Bombyx mori: one gene and its partner. The protein of the gene in region 1 interacts with the protein of each later gene in a biochemical or structural test. Links are inferred from orthologs where the notes say so. Each region holds a gene or a part of one and is shown in the gene's direction. Other genes may lie near its edges. The genes, in order: F-box-like/WD repeat-containing protein TBL1XR1 and E3 ubiquitin-protein ligase SIAH1A.

Region 1 (16,827 bases):
GTTATTGCAGGTGACGCCGGGCTGCTGCGCCGGCAGTCCGCCACAAAGCCTCGTACTGATCGCGCGTTTCTCTCATTATTGTATTTTCATATATTTGTTAGTCGTTTGTTTTGTGTCTCGTTAATTTGTTAATAATCTGTAGTGTATCGTGTTGTCGTAATATAGAACTATTTCTCGTATTGTTTCGTTTAATTTTTTATATCCAGTAAACTCCAGTCGTGCGTCGGAGCGGACACACACACATTTTTTATTTTATTTCCTTTATAGTACAAAGAACATACAGCCCTTATCTGTTTGTAAGTAATCACCATGGCTTATAGACGTCAACAATACCAGGGATTCTGCCAGGCCGCTGCCTACTGCTAAGGACTTAGCAACAGTTACAGCTAGCTATGTACGACCGAATATTACTAGTGATTTTAAAATAATTTTAAATTAGTACTTACATCACTGTTTTCCCCAATAACAAGAACTGGTTCAATACAATTGGTGTTAGATGTCTTGCTCTCATCACTTTCTTTTTCCATCATCTCAGACAATACCTTTTCTTCTGTATTCATAGATGAATTGAGATCAGACTTTTGAAAACCCATTATCTCTTCAAACCTCTCCCTTAATTTCACAAAGCCGCCTGCTTGACCAAACCTATAAAAATTTAAACAAAACCTCTAAAACTTTTCTATTCTTTTAATAATTGATTTGTTCCATTTTTTATTAAAGCTGCTTGCGCTTACTACTTACACATTAATTAGATGGACCAGCCACCCCCTAGGAGTACGATGATCATGAGACCTAGCAAAAATTTCTATGTCTTGAGAAGGCCCTTGACCTGTACCAGTGGTATTTGATGTCACCGAAAGGCCCTCGCTCGTTCGCGATGCATTGAACATATGAAACCTGAGAATATTTTTAGTAATATAATTTTCTTAAATAAAGTAATAAATTAATATGGTTTTGGGTAGAATTAACCAACAACTGCCATCCTTTTATTTTCTGTTGGCATGTATTATTAAAAGCATTATTGTTCACAATAGAAGCAGTTTGTGACCACATGTTATGTGTATTAAGATTTTACAAAACTCAAACCAACCACAGCAGGATCGGATGACTAGTTAACCAGGCATAGTAAGTACTAAACATGCTTTACAATATGATTATGGGGTCTGAATACCGCCTATTTTGCATAGAAAACTCTCTACCTTTAAGTCTAATTGAAGACGAAAACTCTTAAAAAGAAAGATCTTAAAAAAACATACATATTTGTACTAAGCTGAAATCTTTTAATCTAGTGAATATTCTCATGTTGTTAAATGAGCACTTAAGCCATATTATTACTTATATTAAACTTATTATTAGGAACTTATATTTTAAAGAAAATATCTTTTATGTATGAAATATTTTTGAGATTAATGTTTAGAGTAATTGCAACAAGTAAATCATATTATATATGTGATAGGTTTGTACAAGACGCTGGACAACATTAATACACTACTATTACTTGATGTTCAAGCACTACTAGGATAATTACGCTCTGCAAACAGTGCTTTCGGCTTAGTTAATGTTAGTACATCAATCCCTTTTCGGCTTTGGCATCTCTATTTACATATTGCAACCTTGAAGAATTCAAATTTTCCAGTTTGACGGGTAGGTGAATCGTTTATCTTTTTGGGTTCGGTTAACCTCTTAACACCGATTCTATACCTATGAATCAGTATGACAGTATGGCAATTAAAAAACACTTATTTCAGGAATGAGTTTTTTTCATAATTTATGAAATAAAAATCTTACTTGTTACTGGGGTTTAATGTCATAGTCAATAGATGCAAAAATCTGGGATCATCAAGTTTAAGAGCACACAACTTGACTAGCTTCTCACAGTTGGATCTTACACACTGTTGTATATTATTTTTCCACGATGATACTGCATCATCTGTTAATATCTTTGTAAAAGATATTGTGAGAGCATCAGTGTAAAATTTCTGACACGCCGCATTGTGTACATCTTCTCCTGTTAAGCAAATAATTTGTATTACACTCTCTATCTGATAATAATTATCAAACCTACAAATTAAGAGACAGGTTTGAATTCAAATGAATTAATCTTTCATTTCAATAACATGTACTTTTTAAAAAATTAAAAAAAAAAAAAATGTCTGTCAAATTGAGAATAGATAAATATTGTTTTCTCTTTATTAATATTTGTCTAAAGTGTAGTTTTGACGAAATTTGTGATTAAAGAAGTATAATAAATAGTCCTTTCAAATCTTTCCTACACAAACATCTCTATGGAGTTGATTGACTAATTATGGAATTCTTGAAGTATATTTTTCCAACCAGTGAAATTTTCGCGTTTTAGAGAAGGTATATATGTAGTTTGCTTTTGCAATTAACACATTTAAGGTGTTTTCATAAAGTTTCCGTCGAACTCGTTAACTACGACGAAGAATTCGTCTAGCGAACTAGTCCATGACAAATCACTGCGTGCGTTTCTCGTCCGATCTTCTCAGTGGGTCGTAATTTCGATCCGGTGGTAGATTCTGCGAAGCACTGGTCTTGCTAGGGCTATTGTTAGCAAATTCTCTTAGGTTAAGCCCGTTAGCTCAACTACTCGTCCGCCTGTAGTTAGAATAGCCCTTTGGGCTACCAACGTTTAGGTAGAGATAAAAAAGGATGCTCCGTCCATCCAAAAAGCGCGGGATCCAATTCACTATTCAATGCAATTCTCACCACATGCTCTGTTTTCTTCTATTGCTTACGTGTGTGAATGAGCTCATGGCCCACTTGGTGTTCAGTGGTCATCAGAGCCCATTGCCATGAGTCCTCTCTAACGCAAATTTAATAATTTTTCCTCGAAATTATTTAATAATTTGTTCTCTAAGTTTAATGTTCCTGCTTTCTACTTTATTGGTTGCTTGATATATTTGGCTCGATGTTCTTTAACTTGAAATCTTGGAAAATTTGGGTTTGGTGGATGAGGAGACTTTGACTATGAACAAATGATGACATCTCTTTATAGTAAAGGTCTCCTTCCTCGTGGAAACAGTAACAATAGTTCAACGGAACGAACTTATGAGTTTCCACTTGATAGCTAGATATGTTAATAGCATCAAGGATTCTCAGTTTAATAGTGAAAAGAAAAAAAATTAAACCTTTTGCAGCTAGTTCTGTTGCAGCGACTAGAAGAGCTTCCAATTCTTGTTCTGGCAGCACTGGTACAACCCAACGGGGATGTGAAAGTTTGTCTTCCAGTGCCTTTAATTTCGCCTCAGGGAATGCCATCTAAATAATATAAAATTTGATTAGTTTATATAAATTATCACGTAACATCTGTAACCGTATGAGATTATAACTTAAGACATCCCTCCTCCGTGCGTCGTATTCCTCAGTGCTGAGGGTCGTGACCTTTACAGAGGACTTTTGTTAGGACTATGTTCTTCCATTCACTCCTGTCCTCTGCGCGTGGATAGCGACATTGATGCTAGATTCCAGTCGTCTTAATCTGACGTCTTAACTTAAGACATACAATTGGATATTTAATATATTTATATTCATACAGCTATGAGGAGGGGCATCCTAAAAAGACTCAGATGAATTGTGTGAGTGCAAACATGACGTACGATATGCCAGAATGATCCCACATAGTAGGATAAGAGCAAGAAAAAAATTCATACAACTATGCACTTGCACGTCTTTTGTCCAATTTTGTTCAAAATCTATACTGGACCTAGACTTTTTACCAACAGGAGAATGATAGGTTTTTTTTATAGATTTATTAAACAATCACCCGCCGTCGCTGAATTTCACTAGTTATTAACAGAAAATTACAAAAAAATATTAAAAGTCAGCCATAAGAGTCTAAAATTAATATTTATATAACTAGAGACTAGAGGTCATACTATCTGTATTGCCTTATATTGCCTACCTCTGACAGATTTAATATAAATTATGGTGCGTCTAATCTAATTTTACAACAAATTATTCAAAAATTGTTAATTAATAAAATGTATAACTTTACATTTAAATGAAATAATATTTTTACCTCCCCAGGCATCTGGTCTTGTTCTTTCATGGTTATAGTCATTATTTGAAACGCTGTCTCATTGCATTACCTGTAATTTTGTTTAAATTTACTTTTTCTTTACTTAGTTATTTAAAGAAACAACACAACATTGGACAAAATTATTTCCCATTATAAACTTTGTTATATTATGGATATGCAAAATATCATATATTTTGATGAATCCAAGACAAGTTTTTCTTTTCCTCTGATAATTTTATTTATTAAATATTTCTTCTTTTTACTTTTATTGTAAGTAGTTATTATTTGTAAATACCAGTTAAGAAATATTATTCATTTAGCTACAATTTTGTTCTAAAAGAGATGTATTCTTTCCAAAAATAAATGAAACAGTTGATGGATATAATGGTTTAAAGAAACACCAAAATGTTTCATTTCAAAACTTGCATTTTGATTAAAAGACACCACATCAGTAAATTTATTGCATTGCATTCCGTCACCAAATTAAGAATCAACTAAAATACGGTGCCTCAAGAGAGTGAGAGGAAGTGCTCCCTAATAGTCTTGCCTTAAATTACGAGTTCACAAAATATTCCCATCTTAATCAATAAGTATTTATGCTTAATTTAGTAAATGAATAATGATCCCATTTTATCATAAGCCAGTATATTCTCATTACGAACTCTAGAATGGTGCTCATTACAGTTGCTTTTACTGATTGAAAATAATTGCAATTATTCCCAAAACATAATTTTCTGCTTCTTTCTTTGTGTATGCCCATATGTTTTATATTTACTAGTCCTAAACAAATTTTATAATACTATTTATGTTTAACATTGCTTTTACAAACAAATTGTACAGTATTGAAGTAATGCAAAAGACTGCAATGTTAAATTGACATTAAGTTATCTTAATTTCTACATTAAGGCTTGCTTCACGTAAGAGAAGAATGTGTTATAAAAACAATTTAATACCATATTGATTTGTTTTTACTCAATACCACAAATATACCTTCAAAAATATAATAATATTGTAACATGAATATTTTTCATATTTTCCCTGATAAGACATAAAGTACTATGGTAATAATACTACATGGATTTTAAGTAATTCCTATTTTACCTATAAATCTCTTGGATTTTATCTTACTAAAATTGGGCCACCCTGCATATATCACACATCAACATTCTAATTATTTATAGTATGTAGACAAACTCTTCAATGACTTACAATTTCAATAGAACTATATTTTTTATCTATTGAATTTGCGAATTAATGAACTTTATAATAAATGCGTTTTTGGAGCTTGCTTCGCAGCGCAGGTTTTTTTTCTGGTTAACTGTAAACTACAAATACTCAATCTTACAAAGGCTAAAAATCGCAAATTTATAATTCTAGAAATCAGCCGGCGCTACAAAATGGCGTCAAAATCATATACAGAACAAAGCAAAATCTCTGTTTTTGCAATAAGTATGAAAGAGAAATGTGAATGAATCGCATTAATTTCAAAGATTTTACCTTCGTTCTCAGCAAATGTATTAATTCTAGAAAATCCAAAATAATTCACAATGATTTCACTAACACTTTTGACGTAACTGTCGAACATAGATTATAACAGATTATGCATTGAAAGTTGAAACATAGACACACTTAATATTTGAGACAAAAAAATACAATCGTAGTAGGTAAACCTTTACAATATTGAAAGACCTATGATTTATGAGGCTCAGTGAATTTAGCACCCTTTTTTTACTTTCGGATTTTTTTAATTTTAAATTATTTGTTCGTCGTTTGTTCGTTAATATTCGAATTCAAAAATTGTTTGTTCATCTTTTATTTATTTATAATTAATTAAACAAATGATCACCGTTAAGTTGGCCTCCTTCACTAGGTATCTTTATTTTTATAACTCAGATTAATTAATTTTGATCAATTATCGTTTGTTCGACAACTATTGGTGATCGACATCATAAGCTGCTACTCCAGACAATCTGAAAATTTAGATGGAATAATAATTTTTAGTTCTAAATACATACACGTAAAAATAATATAAAATAAGGTTAACTAACCGGTAACATGAGTCAATATCAATTGCATTCATAATGTGAGCTTTCAAAGTAATTTTAGCTGGAAGTTCGCTTGATGTACGTCCAGATGATTCCTTGCTATCTCCACGAATATCTAATTCTATATATCTGTATTCTATATATATGTATCTAATAAAAAGGTGGCGTGAGACGATGCGATGGTTTGCTTATTAGATATAAAATAATTAATAATTGGGAATTTAATTGTTCTTATGATCGAGCAATCACTAATACTTGTCGAACAAACGATAGTTGATCAAAATTAATTAATCTAAGCGATAAAAATAAAGATATCTAGTAAGAGAGGCCAACTTAAGGGTGATCATTTGTTCAATTAATTATAAATTAATAAAAGACAAACAAACAATTTTTACATTCGAACATTAACGGACAAACCACGAACAAAAAAATGTGTGCGTGTACTAGTGTACACACGTAAGAAGTGAAACTTATTTATGGCCTTATTTTTCGAAAAATGATCTACATGCAACTTCCTAGAAATTGGTTAAATAAAGTTAAATTAGATAAAGTTTAAACAAAAGGATTTTATTATCATAGACATGAATACAAAAAAGTTAAATTAGATAAAGTTTAAACAAAAGGATTTTATTATCATAGACATGAATACAAAACAGATGGCGCGTAACGGAAAAATGTGACGCGTAACCGAAAAATGTGACGGTAAATTTTTTTCCAACGCCGATAAGGAAGTTTCACTTCAATAATTAAAAACAAAAAAATCCGAAAAAAAAGGGGCCAAATTCAGTAAGCTATATTTAATAGACTTAGCATTCATAAAATTCAGTTTAATAATCTGTGATTCAGAGTACCTACCATAGATTATACACTTATATTTGATGTAAACCTATCGAGTTTATTTTTCAAATCGAATAATATTTCTGTAAATTACAAATACATACTACCTAAACTGACCTAAAGTAGTTACTACAGGCTACTACTGATAATATGTTATTGTTGTGATTACCATTTGATATGCAAAATGAGTTTTACTAGTGACGAAGTAAACTTTCTTGTGTACCGCTACTTACAAGAGTCAGGTAAAGTAATAGATACATTGTTGAAATAGCTTGGTTTTTCGTGAAACCAAGCTCATGGTGGCTGAAGAATTTCAAAATACAGAAACCGCAAAAAATACATAGGCTATAGAAACTTAAAATATAGGCAGTTTATGAAATAAACAACCTGTCACATTGTTGATCAATCGGTTTTATAGAAACACTGGAATTTTGAATTGTACACATTTAATGCAATAATTCTTGTTTATAATTTACCCTTTAAATACTGTATAAGATGTTCTGATAAATGTGTATTGCAAAATCACATGAATGAATATTAAAATATATCCTATTATTTATGTATGGAGTACATGCAAAAATCGTTCCTCGTCATTGACACGGGCTGCTATCACCGCCCTTAATTATTACTGTAAAGCTGTTTTGTTATATTGTTTCAATAGTGTAAAGCCTTTAAACAAGACTGCAACCATCTCTCAAAGTGGTTGGAGGCTTAAATTTGTGAAGTTGGTAGGTTTCTAAAATTACTCTTACAATTAAATTCAAAACAATGTGATCTGGTAAAAATTAATTTAATATGTATTTACAATATACTGCAATACACACTTGTTATTTGATAACATAAAACACACAAAGTTATAAACTTGGTGTTAAGTGATTATTTGAACCCACAGCCATCACAGCTTGAATGCCAAAATCTAGCTTAAGACATGAGGAGTCTCCACTGTGTAGTAAAACAGCTATCCCGCTTTTGAAACAGGAATATATTTATAGTGGTGGTACGTACCTATGTGGTCTCAGAAGACACTCCACCACCAGTGGGTAACCCCAGCCATGCTCATTATTTTTTCAATAATATTACAGGCACATTTACTGTCCAAATTCTATTGAAATTATAAAATGTAATCATATATTAAATAATAACCCTACAAACCATTATGCATACTTAATATATGTGTGACTGCATGGCAGGAATATACAAGATAGGTAGTAGGGGCATAATACAATATGTACTATGTAAATTAGGCCTGTACTTGTTGTTATTAAATAGGAATATTAATTCTACCTATGAATTAAATATTTTTTTCTAGGTTTCCACCATTCAGCATATTCTTTTGGAATTGAATCACACATATCACAAAGTAACATTAACGGAGCTCTTGTTCCTCCAGCAGCATTATTGAATATTATACAAAAAGGATTACAATACACTGCAGCGGAAATAACATTAGGCGATAATGGTAAGTAACAAAACATGATTATGATTCATGAGTTAATCATTCCACACTTATTTGCCAAATAACAATGTTACTTGCATCACATGAAATTATCTTACCTATTGGACTGGAACATGGAGGTTGTTGGTGCCTACCTGTCAGTTTATAATACTAAATAAGAGCCTAAATTCTATAACATTTTCTTCTAGGAACTGAAAATCGTCTCACAGAAAGCCTCAGCTTGATTGATGCTGTTACTCCAGATGTAGTAGCAGCTAAACAAAATGCTCACAATGCTCAGAAACAAGCTGCCAAAACAGAACAGGGATCTGGAAGCGAACAAAATGGTGTTGATGTATGTTTTTTTTATTTGTTGTTTGTAATGCTATTTGTGATTTAAATACATTATTACTAATTAGTGGTACTATCATGTAGTGGTAAGGATACATTATCACAATTTACAATTAAATAGATAGATGTAATAAATAAAAACACCAATAGATTTATTCCGAGTCATTACTTACTACACATGTCCTGAAGAAAACCCATCAAGGCCATTTGGATAATTTTTTTATTAACATACGTTCCAGTGTTGACATAAATGTAGAACTTAAAGTATCTCGGGTATCTCTGATTGAAAATTGCAAACAATTAAAATAAAATATAACTAGTAAAAACAGTACAGTAGTACAAAGGTACTAAAAGTAGTCTTCACTCTATAAAACAGTAGATTGAATTCTTGCTTGCTCCTTTAATCCCTGTGTTGGGTCTGTTGCCTAATTTTCCTTTTAAATTCCCTATATTTACAAATCAAGAGATGAAAGGCTATTTGGTTTAAGTGACATTTTGCTTAATATACAAAATTTATTTTTGGAATCTAATGTGAGTTTTATTTGGTAGTATCATCAATTAAAAACATCAAAGACACAAGTACTAAGTAACTAAGACACTAGATTAGAATTATCAAGATCTTAGAATTAATCTGTTTAAACATGGGCATGTATGTATGTGTCAATTGTCATAATTTTCTAAAATTTATTTATTTATTGCTTAGATGGGTGGACGAGCTCACAGCCCACCTGGTGTTAAGTGGTTACTGGAGCCCATAGACATCTACGACGTAAATGCGCCACCCACCTTGAGATATAAGTTCTAAGATCTCCAGTATAGTTACAACGGCTGCCCCACCCTTCAAAACGAAACGCATTACTGCTTCACGGCAGAAATAGGCAGGGTGGTGGTACCTACCCGCGCGGACTCTGAAGAGGTCCTACCACCAGTGTAACAACTGGTCCCTAAAAAAATAACAAAAGATATAATACAAAATTTTATTATTTCAAATTTGTAATGCCTGTAATATAACAAAACAAATGAGCTGACAGCCGATTTAGTTGATTGAATCCTGTGTTTCTGGGAAAACTGGGATTACTTGTCAACTTCCTTTGCTTTACTATGAGTGAAAAAATAAAACCCATTTATTCTCTGCTTTGTGAAACCAATCTAGAATAGCAACACCCCATCTCTACCCATGAGTTTAGTAAACACCAACAATCATAGAATGGGACACAGTGCTCTCCAAATATTATATCAGGGGACTGTGAGCTTGTTCAAAGATATGCATATTTTTTAAATTAGCTATAAATTAAATTTTACATTTACATTAAGGTTCACCTACAACTCTTGTTATGATGTACACAAAGATATAGGGATCCTGTGTATTATTTTCTAAATATTTTTAAAGGGTACAACATGCAGTGCACAAGCTGCAGCAAGTGCTGAGACACCAGCATCAAACATACCCGTGCCTATGGACATGGACACATCAATTGAAATTCCAGCAAACAAAGCTACTGTACTAAGAGGTCATGAATCTGAAGTATTTATTTGTGCATGGAACCCAAGCACGGATTTACTGGCCAGTGGATCAGGTGATAGTACAGCTAGGTAAGTTGATTAAAATAATTTTTTTATTATACTAATTAGTGTAGAATAGTAATTTAACATTAAAATAATTCAATAATTGAACAATTTAAGCTGTAAAATTGAAAGCTTTTACATTGTTTTCAAACAAAAATAACCAGTACACCTATGTACTGCAAATTAAAATAATAATGTTACTTAAATTTATACAGAATTTGGGATATGTCTGACAACCCAACAACTACTCCAAACCAACTAGTACTCAGACACTGTATTCAAAAAGGAGGTACTGAAGTACCAAGTAACAAAGATGTCACTTCACTGGACTGGAATGTAAGTTTACAAGCTTTTTAATTAATACTTATTCATTCATTTATTTGTAAAAAAAGCATGCGTTGTGAGCCCACAGAAAGCGTCACCATCCTGCCTATTTCTGCCGCAAAGTAGTCATGTATTCCGATTTCCGGGGTGGAATAGCCATTACACAATGCCATCGAGATTTGTACCTCAACACAGGTGGCTACAGTCACCGGGTGATGTCTATGGGCTCCAGTAATAATTTTACACAAAGTGGGCATGAGATTGTTCACTCTGATGTGCATAAAAAGAAATTTTTTTTATTTTCTAATTTATTTAATATGATTAATTTAGGGACATTGCAAGTTGAATTAAAGAAATAATATGATAATAATATTTAACTTTTTATTATAGTGCGATGGAAATCTTTTGGCAACTGGATCATATGATGGTTATGCTCGAATTTGGACTACAGATGGTACATTAGCATCGACTTTAGGTCAACACAAGGGACCTATATTTGCACTCAAATGGAACAAAAGAGGAAATTTCATCCTTAGTGCAGGGGTACTACAGATTTATAAGTTTATATATTAAAAAAATGTTTTTTAGTTATCATAAAACATTAGAGTAAGTTATGTAAAAATAAGCTTAGAATTGACATAATAATTATTTTAGGTTGATAAAACAACGATTATATGGGATGCTTCAACAGGTCAATGTACCCAACAATTCTCATTCCATTTAGCACCAGCACTAGATGTAGACTGGCAGACAAATACATCCTTTGCTTCATGTTCTACTGACCAGTGTATACACGTTTGTAAATTAAATGCTGACAAACCAATTAAAAGTTTCCAAGGACACACCGTAAGTACAATCTTCAAAATTCATTTTATTGTTTATTTTATTATTGCCTTTGGTTAAAAAACCACATACATTAATTAGTGTGAGTTAAGTACGTACTTTTTTTATTGCTTAGATGGGTGAATGAGCTCACTGCCTACCTGGCGTAATGTGGTAACCAGAGCCCATAGACATGGCCTCAACCTTCCAACCCAAACTCATTACTGCTTCATGGCAGAAATACACAGGTGGTAAACACCATTGCGGACTCACAAGATACCCTACCATCAATAATTACGAAAATTATAATTTTTGCTAATTTGATTTTTATCACACAATGTTGAATTGTGAACTGTGAATCATGTCAATCATGAACATTAAAATTTGTTAAGGACGTATTTCATTAGAAATATTGGTACCTTGACGCGGAATTTGAACACTGGCACACTCTATCGCTCAATTCGAATGCATCTTTATTATCCTTAAGTCCACGACGACTTGGAGTCTGAGAGCGGACGCAAATATTCACGTCTTAATCTCTCATACCACTTAGTATGTTGTGGACCCTGCACTCGTTTGCTTTTGACAGAAATAAAAGAAACTATAATTAAAAATGTATTTTTTACAGAATGAGGTTAATGCAATAAAATGGGACCCACAAGGACAGCTACTTGCATCTTGTTCTGATGATATGACTCTTAAAATTTGGTCAATGAAGCAAGATACCTGGGTTCATGATTTGCAAGCACATTCAAAAGAGATTTATACTATCAAATGGTCACCAACTGGACCAGGCACACAGAATCCTAACATGAATTTAATTCTTGCTAGTGCATCATTTGATTCAACCGTCCGCTTATGGGATGTTGAAAAAGGTGTCTGTATTCACACACTAACAAAACACACTGAACCAGTTTACAGTGTTGCATTCTCTCCTGATGGTAAGTTTTTGGCAAGCGGTTCTTTTGACAAGTGTGTTCACATTTGGTCAACACAAACTGGAAGCCTTGTACATTCTTACAAAGGTACTGGTGGTATTTTTGAAGTATGCTGGAATTCTCGTGGTACCAAAGTGGGAGCCAGTGCTAGTGACGGCAGTGTATTTGTGTTAGATCTTCGTAAACTTTGAGACTTACAAATATAAACCTCATAGCTTTATATGAGGTGGTGCTGTGGCATTGGAACATGAATTTGACATTGATGATATTACAATAATTGGTAAAGTGTGTTGTGCTATTGGAACTAAATAATATAATGCACTAGATTTCAATCACCAAAAGTAATTTTGCAGGTATAATCAACATTTATGATTATTTCAGTATATTTTTAGAAATCTCATCTTTGAGATTGGGTGAAGCAGTGAAATTATGCATAGAAAAATATATAAATGTGTTATAATGGTTGTAATTTTTGTCACATAATTTTCGAACCGGCGGTGCATATCGCCATCATTTTATTTTTGGTAATTTAAAAATAGTTTTGAATTAAGAACGCAAATGTAATTTTTTATAATATCTGGTAAAATTAACTAATGACATGTTCTCCGTTACGTCATAGAATATGTAGTGTTTCAAGTGAATGATTTATATTTTTGTTGGTATAAAATAACTTGCAAGCTCTGTTCATAGTTTTAAGGTGTATTTTGTGTCTATCAATTGGCATTAACAGAATTCCATACTACATATTAGATATTCACGATAGGTCACCGTGATTATTTTCTAGTGATTTAACAGTAGTTTTGTTTATAAAAAAACATAGCCTAAAGTTTATTTATTAACTTTACTTTTTCAATACTTTTTTAACTTGTTATCTAAAGCAGACAAAAGCTGTAGGTAATTTAAATAAACAGCTGAAAAATAGACTTTAAGGCTGCAATTCTCAAACTGGAGTATTTTGTTATTTTATTTAACTAATTATTTGTTTAAATATCATAAGAGTTTATATTTAGTTGCACAAAAACATTATCTCACCTGCAATAAGAAATCGGGTCATAATAACTAATTATCAAAATTAGTTTGGCAACATAAATAATCAATTGAAATGTAAAATAACATTTAAAATGTACAGTAAAAATTTACATTTAAGTACAAAATATATGACAAAGCCTTACTAAAATTTTAATTGAGTATTACAATGTCTGTAATAAATATCTAGTAGTTAGTATAAACTTTATTTAATAAAAATGTTTTTTTTTTTGTAAAAATTTATTTCTTAGTCAAATAAATTTATTTTAATCAACAAATATTTCAAGTCCTGTTTATTTTTCGGATATCAAGACATTGGTCTTTTATAGGCTAACAAATCTTCATGTTTATAAAGTTCATGTAACTTTGAATACATAAAAACAAAAAAGAATAATAAGTTGTCATATTGTCCAACATAAGGATCACATTGAGGATGATTTTGATCTGGATTATGCACAGGATAGTAATCTGTAAGGTGGAATTTGTAATTTTCACTCCGACCCCATGCACACAAATGTAATTCTAACACAAGTTGATGTAATGATTCAATTGTGGAAAGATACCACCTAGGACTGCCTTTTTGGTGTCTCCAAAATTGAGATGGTCTGTTTTGCAAAACTATGGTTGGCAGTTTTTGAATTCTTTTATCGGCATATATACCACGGCATTGATTCCAGGTGCTGTCAATAATAACTACATGATTTATAGGTAATTCTTGGACATGATAGATTTCATGGTTATCTTTTCTTGTAACTATCTTTTTCATTAATGTTCCAACATTGTAACCAACTGGCAGTTGTGATAACATAATTTCTGAGTATGAAGGCTGATTTTGTTGTTGATTGAATAAGTCTCGCACAGATTTTGCCTCAGCTCCAGGAAACAACAAAACAACCTTTCCATCAGTAGGATAATCTGGAATATCTGGATATGTGTACACTGTGACATCCCGTGGAGCAAGAACAGCAGCATGGGCTGCAGTGCTTTTACCATTAATCTCTCCTTTGTGTTTGATAATATCCACTTTTATTGGTAGCTGCAAAAATATTACTTATTTATTAAGCTGAATTTATTGTTTCCAAGAAATTAGTTTTATGAGTTACTAACTTTACAGTAAGGTATTTTTCCTTCAAGTGCTGGTACTGGAATAAAGCAAACATAACAAAAGTACATTCTTGACTTGCCGCAACGTGGGCAAGCACTTCTACTAGATAGAGAACTAAGCGGTTCAGTGTTTGTTATTATCAACCCTTCAAAAGGCCTGTCATCACAAGCCTTAGCGATACGATTTTTAGGGTTCATCTTTCCTTTAATATAAAGCTAAACTATAAATTTCACGTATTCTATGGTAATTCAATGTTAAATTGTTTATTTTGTAACACCATTTAAACATGACAATACAATACAATATCTAAACATAAAAATATGTGATATTTATATAAAATGATGTATTTTTAAACACTACACTCTAAAAATGTAGTGCATTTTATCTATTTTACAATTAATTTAGCAACAATAAATTTATTTTTAGTTTAGAACTAAAACAGTTTTAGTTAACATTTGTTTTTTTAAGGAATTGTATGACCTGGTAACTAAGACTTTTAGGTCATGTCTTATTTTAATTTATATTCATAATGTTATGAAAAATGATAATATGGAGTGAAATAAAATAAAGATGATTAATTTGAGACATTTCATAGATTGGGATGATATTAAATAAAATGATATGGGATCAAATACAATCTCAGTAAAATGGTGGTCATTAATAGATTTTTTTAGTGGACTTTTTGGAGGATCCCGAAAAGTTACGTTCAGCGGCTTTGTTTCATTTTCCCACATTTGTGCACTTTCACAGATATTAAACAGTTAATAAACCACCATTATTACACATTTAAACCCGAAGAAACACTAAATAGACAAAAAAAAACAAATCACAAAACTTCACTTCTCGTGTTCCCGCCAAAAAGCCACTTTTGACACTTTTGACAGCTATCGAAATTCCAGAATGAGTAACAAACAGGGCTGCCAACTCCAGCATAGAGCAAAACTGTAGATATGCTTAAAAAAATAGAAAACTGCAAATATCAATTAAAAAAATTAAAATCTACAGCTTTATCTTTATATTATATTTTGTATAATTTAATGATAATAATGAATAGAATACATTGTAGGGAGGGCATTAAAAACAAGAAAAATTACAAAGTTTTAATATAATTAAATGTCAAAATCAAAAGTCATATATGAAAGTGAATAAGTATTTAAAATCGAAGAAAATAGCTTTAAGTGGCTTTTCTCAGGTTCTCCGAAAATCCTGAGAAATCCACGATTTTACTTAGAGATTATTTTATTTTATCCAATAGGGTTCAAGGATCAAGTTTGAGGATAAACGCAACGCTTTACTTGTTTTTCATAACATTCTATTTAGTTCTAAATAGTTTATGGACTGAATAAGAATCTTGAATTTTTGTGATAAAACATTTGTCTGTATGGTCTAGGTTTTCTTGTCGAATGGACGAGTCCTGGAAAACACAAGGGTAGCTGCTGTCATCTGTCAATATAGACAGATTTTATCTGTGAAGTTATGACGGTTGTGAATTAGAGCCGGCTGATTGATTACCCATACAAATTTTAAATTGTAAAATATTTTGTTCTGTTGAAATGTGATGGACTTTCGCTAAAATAAATTTGTTAAGCTTAGTTTTCAATCCGATACCTATGTCAAACTTCATCAAGAACAGGGTCAATTTGTAATTTGCTTCATATCATTGAAATGGGCGCAGTATAAGCTAAGAAACCATAATAGGAACTTAAATTTTAAAATGGAACCGACTTCGACCAATGTCGCAGAACTTCTTCATAAATTATGTTCCCATCTGTCAACAGATCTAGGTTTGATTCCAATTTTGAATAAATTGTCATAAATGCAAGCTATATGCACTAATATTACGATCACATAATTATGCTCTTGAATTTAATATGAATTTTATACATAATAATTTGAAGTCACTGTTTTCGTTATTTAATATTAAAGGTTAACATGTAATATAGTCAGACAAAACAAATATTTAAGGAATAACTACAAAAACAATTTTTAAAATTGAACCCACATAACAGATGGTGCATATGAACTGGCTATGTCATATTTGTCATCAACAAGCGAAAAGACGCGTTCATCTGCAGACGAGAAACTACTTTGTCAAAAGATTTACTCAAAGTTGTGTAGCAGATCCTCTCGAGATGCAGAAAAGTTCAATGAATATCATTCAAAATTAAGGAATTGTGTGAGTGTTTAATCAAGCCTTAGAATGCTAATTTAACACAGAGGATTAAAACATATTAGTAGTTTAAAGTATATCTTGAGTCTCCTCGTAATCTTTTGAACACTAGTGATAGGTAATGCGGTCCAGCCCTGTCTGTTAACAGCCATAATGGGGCAAATGTACT
Region 2 (16,547 bases), on another chromosome or scaffold:
TCAACTGGGACTCACTGACTCCTTGTTGTTAAACGGTTACCGGAGCCCATAAACGACATAGTTCACAACAGGCATGCCCTCACCTACATTGAGGCATGAGGCTGAAGTCTCAACCGTATTGTATAACAGTCTTCCCCCCTGCTAAAGAGGCCCATGGTTGCTTCTAGGCAAATAAACTTATGCAGGCTGAAAAGACGCATTACTACTACTAATTAATTTTCACTAGTAAACGTTTATTATTATTTCATCGTGGACCCAAATTGGCAAATGGGTAAATCATTTGTGGTATGCACGTAAATACTCAGAGAGAATAGCACTAACCACAGCGAATACACCGTATGGACGTTGTACTCATTTGATCATGCTTCTGCTTCTGTAAGCTTCTGTAAGCAGAAGTTCTTCTTCTCTTCTCTTCTATAGTAGTTCTAGTTCTTCTCTTTTATAGCAAGAGCAGTACTTCGCTCAATTTACTACCGGATCGGAATCGCGATTTAGTGAGAAGATCCTCAGAGAGAAACTCAGTGGATCGTGTCTTTAGGAGTCTCAGAGGTATGCTATTAGCGCCTTATGACTATAGCGCACCATTTAAAACAAGATTTCTAGAGTAATCTCTCTATTAGTTAAAATCTCGGTAAAAACGGGGAACGTTCATTTCAATTTTTTAGACATACTAAATAAGGAACATTTTCTGCTTAAAATTAATAAAATTAAAAAGGCGAAAGTTAATGTTTCTTCGTTGAAATCGTCATATCAATACCTAACAATAGCCTATCGGAACATCACTAGTTAATGAGTTTAATGCACCCTTTCCGATATTATTGTTTCGATAAACATAATATTGTATAAATATCCATAGCTACTGAATGGCAGTGGTATATTGCCATAAATTACCTACTTTCTATTTGACTAGGTACCTATTTTTTCCTGATCTTCGCCCTTTATTTCAACATTAATTATTTCAAAATTTTGAACCCTTTGTGGACTAAAGGTTAATACGTCCCGTGCATTCGTATCTAGCGATGCAACGGTATTCAAATCTCGCAGGCCGGTACCAATTTTTCGAATGAAATACGTACTTAACAAATGTTCACGATTGACATCCACGGTGAAGGAATAACATCGTGTAATCAAACCCACCAAAATTATAATTTTCGTAATTACTGATGGTAGGACCTCTTGTGAGTCTGCACGGGTAGGTGGTACCACCACCCCGCCTATTTCTGCCGTGAAGCAGTAATGCGCTTCGGTTTGAAAAGTGAGGCCGCCGTTGTAACTATACTGAGACCTTAGAACTTATATCTCAATGTGGGTATCGCGTTTACTTTATAATCTCTATAGGCTCCAGTAACCACTTAACATCAGGTGGGCTGTGAGCTCGTCCACCCATCTAAATAATAAAATAAATCACGAAAACTCGAATCCACTCTAAGCATTTGAATTCAGTTTATGAAGGTTACCTCCCAACAGCAGTGCGATACGCATAAGGCTCCAAGCCTCGAGTCCAAGCCGCCCTATACATACTGATAACCTCAACTGATCCGCTCCCACTAATGTTGAATGCTGATAAGTCTAACACCAACAGTAGCCATACCACAAATCATATCCATGAGCCATCCATCCTGAGCCCGTGCTTACCCACATGGTGGTGGAGCTAAGGTCATCAGCAAGACTTCAATTCCAAAAAAAAAAACATTTCACCATTCCACTTAATTGTACCTCGAAGCTTAGTGCGTTCGTTTTAATATGAAGCCAAATTACATTAATTCGAAGGCATTCACTTAAGTGATTTCTGAGCACTGGAATCCACTTAACACCAGGCTAGGTAAACTTATATGCCCATTTAAAGCCCAAAAACTATGTCAGCTTAGGCAGAAAAGGCATGAATTGTAGGAAGTATCTATTTGTGACAAAATAATACACACCAGCTGGAGAGTGAAAAGAAAATAATTTAATATAATTTAGTTGACCACTAGTGATTCTTGATTGGTGGTTTCGTGATTAATTACCTATACCTAACATGCAATGATAAATTACATCCACTGCAGTACTACTGAGTTAATACTAATCTGAAGGAATAGGAAAGAGTAGTTAATAAAATCACGTACGGTGATACAAGTCTAACCAACCCCTTAAGGTTACTAGCTGTAGGTATAATCGAGCCAATCATGATTTTAAAAATTTTGATGACAATAATCATTAAAATTGATCAACATCGTAATAAATTATGCTTTACTGTTCTTTTCGTTCACTTTACACTTCTTTGGCTAAAAAGACTGACATCCAAACTAAAAATAATGGCAACACTCTCATTCACCGTCACCTGCAGGGGGGTGCAACTCCCATACAAAGGAAAAGAACATTCAACTAGCGTCATCTTTAGGAACCGGCGAGGTCATTTTTGAAACGTTTTGGCCTTAATGAACTAATAAACTCACTAGATGGCAGATACGAGTTCTGACTCAATAAAAAAGGTTAGCGTACTTTGAAGCAGTGTTTCCACTTTTAGGGAATTCTCTCTTTTTTAGGGAAAAATAGCTGATATTTTGGATGATAAAGACAATTTAAAAAATTCCAGGATTTAGGATATTTCTGGGTAAAAAGCAAAGCCTATACTAGTAACTGTTGTGAATTTTAAAATAAACGATAATTAAAGTAAAACAATGAACATTTTATTTTATGGAGAGAATGACATTAAGTCGAGTTGACAAGTAAAAGAATAAAACAGAGTTGTGTATAAAAACTATAAAGAAGGTTTGATTCAACAGTAACCCTCTAGTAAAGTAAATCATAGATTAAGCCACTGCTTTTTTCTTAGGGATTCCCCAGAATCCCAATAAGTATAATCCGCCAAATTTTTATTTACCTGTTTTCGTTGATGTCACCAGAACTTACTCGTATTGTAATATACAGGTACTTCATGTACCATGAAAGATTATCATGGTAATTTCATTTACGAAAACCTTGTAATTGTCATTTCACTTTTGCTAGCAGTTCCTTCTTCAAAGACTGAGGTGGAAAGATTATTCAGTGTTCTCAAATGTAAAAACTGACAAAAGAAACAGGCTTTCTAATGAAACCCTGAACGGCTTGCTTCATAGAAAGTTCCCAACTTTGCCAGCAAACAATTGCTCAATTTTAGAACCGAACAGTGTTAGGTTGCGTGCAGCAAAAGAATATAAAAGCAATGCGTCGACTTCCTTGAAAATTCTAATCCTATACATCTATGATCTTCTGGGGGCGTTTATATTATATATACCTACATTAAATAATATGCTGTGGTTTATTTTCTGTATTTTATTTATGCTTTCTATATAAAGGATTTATGAAAGTTGTTTAGGAAATTTTAGGGATAAATTCAAAAGAAACTAGGGTAAAATGTGGTAAAAAAAACGTAACTGGAAACACTGCTTTGAAGTTTTCAAAATTCCAGGGCCGTAAAACAACCTCAAAAAAAAAAAAAAGAGTTTTCAAAATGTCGTAACGCTTTAATTTTTTAAATCGTTTTTTTTTTTGGTCTTGGTGTGAGTTATTTTACGTTGTAGTATTAATTTAGAGCAACTTTTAGCTTTATGAGAATATTAGACGATTAGACATTGAGAAACTCTGTTTTGAATTCTCTTTAGACATAACTTGGCTCCAATACTTTTTTCTTCGTTAGCGTTTCGTAAGCCTGTGTAACTATTTTCATTTCTTACAGAAAGTTTATTATTAAAAATCAGCATGCCTCGAAGATCGAAAATGAAATGCTATTTCGGATGCCTTGATAACGGTGAGTTTACACTATTTTCCCGGTATATTATTTGCTAACAGAATTATTATTCATAATATAATTAAATGAATTAGCACCAACTAATGGTCCTTCCTATTTCTGCTGCCTAGCTATCATATATGTTAAATTTTGATCAAAACAGTCGGTATTAAGTCTCGTACTATCACACACACACCTCAGATAATAAAATTGTCTCGAGTGGGTGGAAGTATTTATGTTTTGCAACTCAGCGTATTATATGCTTATTGTCAAGTGGGCCCGAACTAGTTTTTTGGAATGATCAATCAGTCATGCTTTCCTGTTTAAATAAAATACAGCACAATTGATCTCACATCCAAAGTTAGATGATGGCATTCACGTTTTGTTTCCTGGTGTTTGATAACTAAGTTACACCAAGTGGTCTGTGACCACGTTCATCCTTCTACCCAATATAAAATAATGTTTTTATTTTTGTAGACAAAGGTTTGATAATGACAAAATTTTATGGAAAAATTATAAGGAGCACTAAAATGTCTGAAACATGAAAAGATTGATGCACTATATTTGAACCAGAATGTGTTATGTAATATATTAATTTGTAAGTATGATTACATTATCACTAAATTTTTCATGGTTGTATTTTTTCAATATTTGTTACATACTTATGATACTTTGTTTCTCCGTTTCAGAAGAGAAACTGATTCAGCAAGGAACGTGAACTCTCAAGGATCTTAATTTTTTTTAATTATGTTTATAATTTATAAATTAATAATTGAAATAGTTCATAAGAACTAAATTGATGCCAATTTTGTTTTAAAATAGGTTGTTTAGTTCTTATAGTATTACGTTTGAATAGTTATAATTAGTAAGTTAGTAATATATGAAAATACTGATATAAATTTTGTAAATAACCTTTTGTAAATTCTACGAGAAGATGATTTTAATTAATGATCAAAAGTCAACGGTCTTCAAAAGCATTATTTGCAATTATTTAGATTAACTGTGGAATATATTTTTACTAAGTTGTGTTTTCTGTATGAGCAGATATAAATGAAAATGCCCAAACATGATTATGTTTCTTACATTTTCATTATGTGAAATCAATATGCTTGTGACTGAGTATATTAATAATTTATTAAAACTTAAGTGATAGACAGCAACCCCTATGGCACTGCTGAAGTTTATAAGCACTGGTGACCACTTATCATGAGCCGGGTTGCGTGCTCGTCTGCTGTTGAGTCCAGTAAAAATTTTCGAAACCCTTTCTATTATTTAGATGTAATATTAATGTACATTTAATTTGGATTAAAAGATAAATTTACATTTTATGTTTGCATGTGTATGTTTATAATTCATTTGCATGTAACGAACATCAGTTTCTTTTGTAACAAAATGCAAACTAATGGTTTGTAATGAATGTAATTAACTTTAAGATGATTTTCTTTCAATCTGCTGTTTGTTTCATCTAGTATTACCAAATATAAGAATGCTAAGAATAATTTAGTATTCACTTTAGTGTGTGTATTATCTCTACAATGCTAGTTTAAATGACAATTATTGTATGACGAAGCATAGGTAGTGTTTATACATGTAATATTTTCATACAAGATGATCATGATCATGATCTGTCACGATCAACTTTAAGCAAGAACTGCTATCGTTAAGAAACAAATTTATTTAATTTAATTCAAATTGTCTACTATGTTTGTAATGGAAAGCTGACATGTTTATATTTCGCACAAATGACTTATTGACATAGAATGATTTGATTATCTAGACTTAATTAACTTTTAGATAACTTTCGATTTAATGTTAATAAGTACGCTAGTAGGATTAATCTAGAGGAATTATTGTTATTCGAAATTTTATACAATTGTACGTTCATACAATCTTTTAACAGAAAATTGTTTGTAATATAGGGAAATTAAATAGCTTACAGAGAATTACAGCTTTTTATTTTAAAAAACTGTTTTCTCTCTGTATGAAAAGATCTTATCGATTAGAATGCTGAACACAATCAAACATTCCTTAATATCTCATAAGTACTACCGGGAATTTCAGCGATTCTAAACGATAAGATTTTTTCATAAAGAGAGTTATTAAAAATATTAAAATTACTAAAAAAGCCACCTGGTGGGGGGTAGGGAGACTAATAATCGACCGTAGCGACGCCTGCTGGACCGGGCTTTAACTAAAGCAAAAATAAAAATGAGAGTTGCGCATCTATCTCGTATATATTAAGTGTATAATCTATGGTCACCTGCTAATCCTGCTATCTTGACATTCATGCGAGTTTTGTTCGATTGGTCGTCATTGAGTTTTACGACGATTATCGTCCTTTTGTAATGAGCTAGAACGTTCGCATAGCTATTAACTTTTACCTTTTTTATTTAGTCTTTCTATACAGTACACGTAATTATGCAGTAAAATAAAAATTGCCGAACTCTTCGCAAACACAAGTTGTTATCATTCGCCTAGATTCTCATGGAGATTAGCCCACATATATCACGACGTACATAACAGTAAGAGCCATCCGCCTCGGTAACTGTAATGGAAATCTACTTCAACTCGACCAGCAGACGGAAGAAATCCACCGTGGAAGGCTATAAGTGAAGTGAGCGGTGCGTGTTTAGGAAGTAATCGTGGAGGACTGGGAGATCGTCGACGGACGTGATCTATGTGCGCGTAACGGTGACATGAGCACGAACATCAAGCGGCGTGGAGCTAGTGGGTCCAGTTGTTCAGTGCCCGGAGTGCCGGCCCTCGTGAACGCGCCCACCGCCATGTCTGCCGACCTCGCCTCGCTGTTTGAGTGTCCCGTTTGCTTCGACTATGTGCTGCCCCCCATCCTACAGTGTCAGAGTGGGCACCTGGTGTGCTCTAGCTGCCGTCCCAAGCTGTCCTGCTGCCCGACGTGTCGCGGGCCCCTCGGAAATATTCGCAACCTTGCAATGGAAAAGGTTGCCAGTAATGTTATGTTCCCCTGTAAACATTCTAACACGGGCTGTACTGTGACTCTTGTGCACACGGAGAAAGCTGAACATGAAGAAGCTTGTGAATTCAGGCCGTACTCTTGTCCTTGTCCCGGGGCATCCTGCAAGTGGCAAGGTGGTCTTGATCAAGTAATGCCGCATCTAATGATGTCTCACAAAAGTATCACAACACTCCAAGGAGAAGATATAGTGTTCTTAGCTACGGACATCAATCTGCCCGGTGCGGTGGACTGGGTGATGATGCAGTCATGCTTCAATCATCATTTTATGTTAGTTTTAGAAAAACAAGAAAAATTTGATGGTCACCAGCAGTTCTTTGCAATTGTGCAACTTATAGGATCTCGTAAAGAAGCTGAAAACTTTGCATACCGATTGGAGTTGAACGGTCACAGGCGTCGGCTAACGTGGGAGGCAATGCCTAGATCCATTCACGAAGGAGTGTCATCGGCCATCATGAACTCAGACTGCCTGGTGTTTGATACATCACTTGCACAATTATTTGCAGATAATGGCAACCTTGGTATAAATGTCACAATATCTATTGCCTAACCAATGTTTCTTTTTACAATTTATGTGAGCTAAAACTCTTGTATTAGACTCATAATTACGCAGTGTGTTACACGAAACATGACATAAAAGTTGGAACAAATTTGCAAATTTTAAAATGTAATTTTATTTAGTTTTCTTTTTTTTTTTCTAAATGTAAATAATCTTTGTCCATAGATAAATGTAATCGTTAATTTTCTAAATCATATTATTTTATGATTTACTTACCATCTCACGTATATATGACTTGTACTATAATTTAAATATAATTGTTCAAATGAAAGTAAGCCAAAAAAATGTTTTTTTTTTCTTTTCAACTTTTGTAAATGTGTGTTCAATATAGTTGTAAGTAGCAGAAGTGATTATTTCTTGCTAATTCAATAATTGCCTTGTGAACATAGTTTATAACAAATTATGACGAATGATGATCGCAAGAAGGGATTACTTAAATTCTGTAAAATGAACAAATTTGTATTTTAAATGCATGAAAAAATTTTTAGTGAATAAAATTTATAATAGAAATGTGATGTTGCTTTACAAGTCTACCCAATTATGCAGAAACTCGATTAACAAGAATTTACAAAACCAACAAAAAAGTTCTTAAGCGAAGAATTTTAGACACTGGTTTGACATTTAAAAGTAATTCAGTGTTACCTTTCAATTATAAATGATTACGAAAAAGGTACGAATCGCGCAGATAAGTTATGACAAAAAATCGTTTTTTTTTTTTCAATTAAAAAAATGTACATACTCAATACTTTTTTCTAAATAAATGCTGTGTAGTCTGATATTAATTTGTATTTTATGTAGATTATATCAAAAATACGATTTGACCTCTGATTCATTTTCATTTTAGCTGGATGCTGGTCGGATCTTTTCTGCATAACAGGGTCGAATGGTAAACAGTGCTCGAACCAACTATCACGGTCAACGCGTGACCGAAACAAACGTACCTATTATTTAAACAAATAAAAAATACGTTGAACAAAATTGAATGCCTTAGGACTGGTTATAGTTTGAACTGGATCTTGCCCACGGTACTTATGATTACAATAATATTCTTAGATAGAAAAGATTAAAGACGTAGGTTGAAAGTAGATCATAACTTTTCGAAGATACGGCTTAGTTTAGCCTGAGTGTATGCTGGCGCGTATAACAAAACCTTTGGATATGTAAATATGAATCCGAAAAAGTTATTTTTTCATAACACTCATTATTCATTATTAGATTCATAATGATAAACATAAATTTCATTAGTTAAAAGAAGACCATGTTAATTTTAAACAATTAATTGGAGAAATATACTCTGACATTCAATAGCAATAATTATGTAACGAACGGTCACCAAATCAACGTATTGTTTTTTGAGTTGGCAGCATGTACTTTGTTATGTTTAATGGCTTTGATTACCACTTAACGTCAGACTGCCCGCGAGCTTCTTTCCTCATCCGCGACAATAACAACATTACACGCTCGACTGCGGTAAGCCGTGTTTTGTTTTCATTGTCCATAACATAAATACAAATAGCATATAATAAAGAGTTTTAATAAGTCACTTTCAACTAGATTCGGAATATATGTTTAATAATTAAAAAATTAATTTAAAACAGGTTTTACTTTGCTTCGAGCAATAATAGTTCTCTGGTGGTCACTCGGCGGGTAATCAAATTGCCCACCGACAAAACCCCAAATTCAGACCCCAAATTTTCATATTATTGAAATCATTGCCCAGACCGGGATTCTAACCTGGATCTCGTCGTCTCAATAATCACTCACTATTACATTTAACCTTAATATATTAAATCTATCTAGCGACAAAACAATAAATTTCGCTTTAGTCAAATATTTTACACAAAAGGTTCAGCGAAATACATGCTCAAATTTTTTAAGATTGATTTTTTAAAACGTGGGCGTTAAGTACAATATTGTAAATGCATTGCCTACAAATTGTTGCTCATTTCTGTAATAACTTACTTTTTTAATCATGCAGAAATGTCACCGGTCACGTTACTTCTAATTTAAAGTTTGAATTGTCGCCATTTTGGAAAACTAAAAAGGTTGTTTTATTTTTCCACAACACGCGCGCAATGGTGAAAAATGACTGTTATCTTGTATCTCATAAGATAAATCTCGTCAAGTAAAATAAAAATTATAATTGAAATAAATTTTTGTAATGTAATCAAATTATTTGTGGTTTTACTGTTTTTCAAATATATTTTAAAATATATATGCAGATGTGGCGTTATAAGTGAAATTGTATGTGGCTTAAATTTTTGGAATTTATTTTTTTCTTAATTCTGTCCTTTTAATTGCATTAAATAATAATAAAAAAGTTCAAAAGAATCCAGATAAATTGAATATTTCTAAATATATCCAATTGCAAACAAATACATTATACCGAGTTTCACGGTGCTCATCTTCAGAACTATACTTGTTTCAACTATGTGTCAAATAGTATTTGGAAACAGATTATTATAAAATTGCTATTCTGGATCATTTTCCATAATCCAGTCTTTATACAGTATCGTTAACCTAAAATAAATTTTAATAAAACAACGATCTAAAGACAAATGTCGACCTATCGATCGACTAAGCTCCGGGTCTATAGTGGAACTTCGTTTCTCCCTTGTTTCTATATCACATGACACGGGGAACGGTGTTGAAAACATTGATATATATCATTACTAAGATGGATGAACTGACTCACAACCCACCTAATATTAAATAGTAACCGATGTCCATAGACATCAGCAACGTAAATGCCGTCGCCCACTTTGAGACATCAGTTCCAAGTTTTTACACTACGACTGCCCCACCCCACTTCAAACCGAAACGCATTACTACTTCACGGCAGAAATAGGCAGGGTGGTGGTCCCTACCAGTATGGACTCACAAAACGTCCTACCATCAGTAAATGATAATCCCGTCATTTCCCATAACTCAGACTATGTACCGTAGATTGGGGAAAATCGAGACCCTTTCCAAATCCAACACAAATTTTCAATGGTTTTTCATAATACCAATAAAATTGAGATTAAAATATTTAAATTTTTATATACGATGCGTTATTATACATAGTTCATTACAAAATGTACACAAAAACTAAAAAGAACTATATTGACCTGATTCACCTTGGCTATAAGGTGAATCAGGTTACGTGTGGTGTCAATAGAGTTTTTGATAGGGCTAGCACTATTTAGTTGTTAAGTAGGTACCTAACTTTAGGTTATTAACTTTTTAATATCTTTAATGAGTTGCAAAACTTTGATGGCTAAGTTAAACTATCCGAAGTCGTCGTGGCCTAAAGGATAAGACGTCCCGTGCATTCGTATCGAGCGATGCACTGGTGTTCGAATCCCGCAGGCGGGTACCAATTTTTCTAATGAAATACGTACTCAACGAATGTTCACGATTGACTTCCACGGTGAAGGAATAACATCGTGCAGTAAAAATCAAACCCGCAAAATTATAATTTGCGTAATTACTGGTAGTAGGACCTCTTGTGAGTCCGTACGGGTAGGTACCACCGCCCCGCTTATTTCTGCCGTGAAGCAGTAATGCGTTTCGGTTTGAAGGGTGGGGCAGCCGTTGTGACTATACTGAGACCTTAGAACTATATCTCAAGGTGTGTGGCGCATTTGCGTTGTAGATGTCTATGGGCTCCAGTAACCACTGAACACCAGGTGGGCTGTGAGCTCGTCCACACATCTAAGCAATAAATAAAAAAGCGCTAGGCAGCGGCTTGGCTCTGCCCCTGGCATTGCTGAAGTCCATGGGCGACGGTAACCACTCACCATCAACCATCAGGGTGGGCTGTGTGCTCGTCTGCCTACAAAGGCAATAAAAATATAAATTAAAAAAAAAACTACACAATACTGAATAAAAAATTATGATTTTCAAAAACCAATTTATTCATCCAACATGCTCTTTACGTATGAACGACATTACAAAAGGTAAATTGACAGAACAACGTTAAATTCATTTTCAAATTACATATACAACCTTAAAACTAAAAAAAATAATATATAATTGCAATAAATAACAATAGGATTCAAACAAATATCACCTATATAAGGGACCATTGTTTTTTCTGTTTTATCCCACGGACTCTTTGTTGATCGGTTACAACCAGCCATCAGAGACAGCAATATGGCCGCCGTCGCCTATAAGATACCAATGTACTTAAGAGTGAGTTTTATAACGCTCTCGATAACGTAAAAGTTAACTCAAATTAGTATGCAGTTGGAACAGCGCCCCTAGCGGCAAACCTTCCAACTCTACAAATTTGAGTTAACGTTTACGCTATCGAGAACGTTAAAAAACTCACTCTAAGGACGCAGATTCAAATCTCAACTGTATTGTACAACAATTGTCATAACTTTTCAAACGCGTAATTTCTTCGGCACTACTTAACACGCACAAGATTGCGGTCTCTATTTAAGGCAACATTTTGAATTCCCAAAAAAAAAAAACAATAGAAATATGTTGAAAATGTGGGTTCATATTTTATTATTTAGATGTAACAGTATCTAGGATCCGCTGAACGAAAGGCGATTAATTCAAATAGTAAATATTCATTTAAGACTTTATCGACTTTGGCTTTGAACTTATCAAGGATCTCATCTTTAATAATTAATCTTTAATTAACAATCACAATTGGATTTGTGAGACTTATAAAAGTACTTCACTGAATATTTAATGTTTTGGAGGTATGTCTGTTTGTCCATAGAAATAAAGCGATGGTACATTGCGCTCTGATGCAAGTAGGCAACGTGAAATAATGGTAGCATATTTTTTTGGTCTACAAAAGAATATGAGCTCACAGCATACCTAATATTATTAAGTTGTTGTCGAAGCTCAAAAAATAATGCATGATCATTGCTGAACTGATATGGGGGTTTGTTGTGCAACTGTGTCCAAATCTTCGAACCAGAATGCGGGCCCCCTTCGCTACACAACCTTTTGTTAAGTGGTTACTGAAGCCCATAGACATCTGCAACGTAAATGCGCCACCCACCTTGAGATATGAGTTCTAAGGTCTCAAGTATAGTTACAACGGCTGCCCCACCCTTTAAACCGAAACGCATTACTGCTTCACGGCAGAAATAAGCAGTGGTATCTACCCGCGCGGACTCACAAGAGGTGCTACCACCAGTAAATTTACATTTGGAGGAGAAACTCAACTAAACCATTCTAAGCTGAGGGATTTTAAATATTTTTAAATAAAAATGATTGTTTAATTAACTAAGTTGGCTTCGCGCTGTTTTGAGGCTGTATCGGTGAGGGCAGCAGGCAGGCGGCCGTGGGGGAACCGCTGTCGTCCAGAATGGACGCTCTACCCTCATCGTTGTCCAAAACAGAACCAAACGGGTCCGGCCTGTGCACGACCTCGTAGGGGTCCGACTCGCGCGCGTTATCCACGATGCTAAATTCATCAAAGGACTCCAGCAACTTGTACGAGTCTTTTGAGGTCTGAGGCGCGAATGGATCGAAGGTCCTTCGGCGGTCGGGGGCGGGGGGGTCCTCCGCCAGACTGGTATCCGCGCTGAAATCTGACAGGTCTATGTCATAATTGACGTCGCTCAGTCCGGGGATGTTGTCCGGGAACTCGTCCGGGGTCAGCACCTCGTCTAGGGACCTGCAGTCGAACGGAGTGAGGACCATCGGGGATGGGGTCAGTAGTTCCGTTGAACTGCTCTGTTTGAGGTCGGAGAGGCGGTCCAGCTGCGGCGACTTGGACGGCGACCGCTCCTCGACCACTTCGAAGCCTAAGATGTTTAGTTTTTCGGTTTCGTCGATGACTACGCTCGGCTCGTTGAGCAGCGCTGGCGGTTCTGAGGTCCGCGCCGGGCCGGGCTCGGTGGTGGGCGGCGGCGCGGACCCGACGCCCTCGCGTCTGAGACGCGGCAGTTCTCGCCGTGGTTTGATCTCCAGTGGGGTCTTTGCTAAAACGTCTTGAACTTTCTTCGCGATTTGTTCCTGTAAAGTATCGTGTTGTTTAGGACACTGAGAATTCGTTCACCCATCAAAGTAGAGACTGTACAGGAGAATACACAATACAGGAGGTAGAATGTACAGGAGACTGGGGACGTGCAATAAATAAAAGACGATTGTTAACGCTGGATTTTACTGGTGGTAGGACCTCTTGTGAGTCCGCGCGGGTAGGTACCACCACCCTGCCTATTTCTGCCGTGAAGCAGTAATGCGTTTCGGTTTGAAGGGTAGGGTAGCCGTTGTAACTATATTTGAGAACTTATATCTCAAGATGAGTGGCGCATTTACGTCGTAGATGTCTATGGGCTCCAGTAACCACTTCACACCAGGTGGGCTGTGAGATGGTCCATCCATCTAAGCAATAAAAAAAGTCTACGAAATCTGAAGGAGCAATGTTGAAATTGTTATTTATGTTTACCTACACCATTTACACTTTAATTAATCGCCGTGTCAAGAAGCTAACTTGTTCGCAACATAAAAAAAAACCTGTATAAAGTAGGAGTGGGTGATATAAATCGTATATAGATTCAATATCTATATATCGCAGCAATATCGTTGAATCCGATATCGCCCCGCACGAAATCTATATTTCGATATCAGCCGATACACGATATTGCTCGATGTGATGCGCATCGGCATATCGTACCGATTCGTTAATATCAGCAATATTCGTTTGGTTCGTATCGAATCGGCCAGAGTGAGTGAGCGCACGATAGGGATATCATGTGATGAATGAAACAGAAACAGGCATTATCCATACAATTGTAAACCTTATATTTAAGTCCATATGTCTGTAGATTATTCTTAGCGTATCAGCAGGATACAATTAAGGAAAGAAGTTTCAATTTTCGACCCTAACTTGAATGCAGTATAGCCTATTTGCATCGTTGAATTTAATTTCACGCGCTTTGACCTTGAACTAGAATTTTTGGACAAGTGTTTATAAATACTTAAAAGTTTTTTGTGTTTGATTTTTAAAGTACACATTTTTCTATTTTTAGTTGAATCCAAATAATTGAGTTTATTTCTTGTGTTTGTATTAAACTTTTGAAATCTACACTCTTTTGATATATTTTGTAATTTTAAATTAAGACACAAAATACTAAAAACTGAAAATAATGTAGCCAGTCCTAAGCCTGGTAAAAGCATGAAGGAAACTTTTTTTGATATTTTTATTTTCATGTTCTTTTTATTACTTTAAGATCATATTATATATTGATATCAGAAAACCAACCGTATAACGTTGACTTAAATCTATATCTACTACGATATTATATCAGCGTATCGTTTCAAATCTCAAATATCATGAATCGAGAAAATCTACTAGCATCCATCAATATATAGATTCAGAAAATATATAGATTCAATATCCGATATTGATCCTGGATATATAGATACGATTCGATACGCGGCAAAACCAATATTACCCACTCCTAGTATAAAGAAAATACAAGCTCAAGATCGATTTGGAAGTTTTATTCAAGAAACCCAAGCATCCAACAACGATCAATAATGCAATAGATCATTTAAGTTACTTCTTTTCTAAATTAAAGCAACACGTTTTGAGTCTTGTATAAATTGTATTTCCTTTATTTCAAATAGTACTTCTTACTTCATCTCAAACCGGAACGCACGGTGCTTTGAGGCAGATATAGACGCCTGCGTGTCCCCCCTTTACCCCCTAGCTATATAAAGTCGCGACAAACCTCAAATGTAGCCGCGTTGTTCGCCATGTTCTCGGCCTCCCTCTGTATCTCTTTGGTCTGTTCTAGAAGTTTCGCTGCTAGAGCGCTCTGTTCCTCGGCCTCGCGTGTGGCGCCGCACAGCGACAGCGCGGCCGCCTGGTGTGGAACACATTAATTAATTACGACAGGTAAGTGCTCTGAGGAATTGTTTGAGATGATCCCCTAATCTCCTTTTTATCATCGCACCTCCCGCCATCGGAGCAGAGTTCATCCATATTATCCGGAACCGCTGCGTTCATCGACAGTGCGTTTCCAGAGGTATTTTCTGCCTCGTACCATCCGGTTATGGAATGAGCTTCCCTCCACGATGTTTCCCGAGCGCTATGACATGTCCTTCTTCAAAAGAGGCTTGTGGAGAGTATTAAGCGGTAGGCAGCGGTTTGGCTCTGCCCCTGGCATTGCTGAAGTCCATGGGCGACGGTAAGCACTCACTGTCAGGTGGGCCGTATGCTCGTCTGCCTACAAGGGCAATAAAAAAAAAGATAAGGTAGTAATAATAGGTGGTAGGACCTCTTGTGAGTCCGCACGGGTAGGTACCACCACCCTGCCAATTTCCATGAAGGAGTAATGCGTTTCGGTTTGAAGGGCGGGGCAGCCGCTGTAACTATTCTTCTTCTCAGTCGTACGCACTTTTGGCAGTCTGGTCGTGGTCATCACTTCGAGTGGTGGTGATTTTCACCAGAAGTCTCCATTCCGCGTGTACCGCGGCCCTTCTTGTGCACTCGTTAATGGGACCGTTTAGAGCTGCCATTATTTGGTCGGTCTATAGTAACGGTGATCTTGTACGCGGTCTTGTACCCTTGGTGTAACTATACTTAAGAATATACTTAAAAAAATTTTTTTTTAAAGTCGCGGCCTGCTTTTATTCGCAGGTAGAATTCGTAAAGGATGCATCGCCTAAAGAACCTCGTCGACTAAAGCATACTTGTCGCACGGACTCCTGCCGCCAGATAACACCAGAAAGGGCCGGGACATAACGAGTGACTAATTTAATCAAAAATGGATCCTCACCCAGGCACTCCCGCCTATGGAGGCCGGCATCGCCATGTAGCAGTCGAACTCCTTCTTGTCCATGCTCAGAGACTCCGCCGTCATATTCTGGATGAACGACACCGCACAGCACTGCAGTACAAACAACACACACATATATAATAATATATATATATATATATATAGAGAGGGGAGGGGGGAGAGGAAAAGAGAGAGATAGGCGTAGGCGTGCAAAAGAAAAAGACAAATTAATTTATATGTTGCAGAATGACTGAATTTAAGATTAAATTGCACAGGCGAATACCAATTTGTCTATAGCATACAGCTTAATTATGGTTGCAAGGCATTGTCTCTTTTTTTCGACCTATACATCGACTAATTAGGGTATAGAATTGTTTCGTTGCAGAAGTTAAAAGGATGGCCCCTTCCCTAGTAAGCCTTCAACTATCACCAATAATTACGCAATCTTCATTACATTATTTATTTATTTATGTACACACAAAAAAGAAGACACAGTACAGAGTAATAAGA

The links.
Region 2: the proteins of F-box-like/WD repeat-containing protein TBL1XR1 (region 1) and E3 ubiquitin-protein ligase SIAH1A form a complex in vitro, tested with the Drosophila melanogaster proteins (2 studies listed by BioGRID). The link is inferred for Bombyx mori from reciprocal best matches to the Drosophila melanogaster genes ebi and sina.

What each region holds. Positions count from the first base shown.
Region 1 is NC_085121.1:10,762,174-10,779,000, reverse strand, and holds F-box-like/WD repeat-containing protein TBL1XR1, read left to right. Parts: upstream 1-6,908; 5' UTR 6,909-7,105; coding exon 7,106-7,163; intron 7,164-8,230; coding exon 8,231-8,380; intron 8,381-8,565; coding exon 8,566-8,711; intron 8,712-10,097; coding exon 10,098-10,300; intron 10,301-10,488; coding exon 10,489-10,609; intron 10,610-10,987; coding exon 10,988-11,140; intron 11,141-11,251; coding exon 11,252-11,443; intron 11,444-12,047; coding exon 12,048-12,548; 3' UTR 12,549-13,663; downstream 13,664-16,827. Other genes in the region: probable ubiquitin carboxyl-terminal hydrolase FAF-X, read right to left, coding at 447-645, 742-897, 1,789-2,008, 3,150-3,279, 4,040-4,081; tRNA-uridine aminocarboxypropyltransferase 1, read right to left, coding at 13,691-14,419, 14,491-14,685; gamma-tubulin complex component 3 homolog, read left to right, coding at 16,203-16,272, 16,498-16,664.
Region 2 is NC_085116.1:16,263,829-16,280,375, reverse strand, and holds E3 ubiquitin-protein ligase SIAH1A, read left to right. Parts: upstream 1-6,008; 5' UTR 6,009-6,444; coding exon 6,445-7,290; 3' UTR 7,291-7,809; downstream 7,810-16,547. Other genes in the region: rab5 GDP/GTP exchange factor, read right to left, coding at 12,532-13,266, 14,988-15,122, 16,038-16,148. UniProt on the Drosophila melanogaster protein: E3 ubiquitin-protein ligase that is required for specification of R7 photoreceptor cell fate in the eye by mediating the ubiquitination and subsequent proteasomal degradation of Tramtrack (ttk).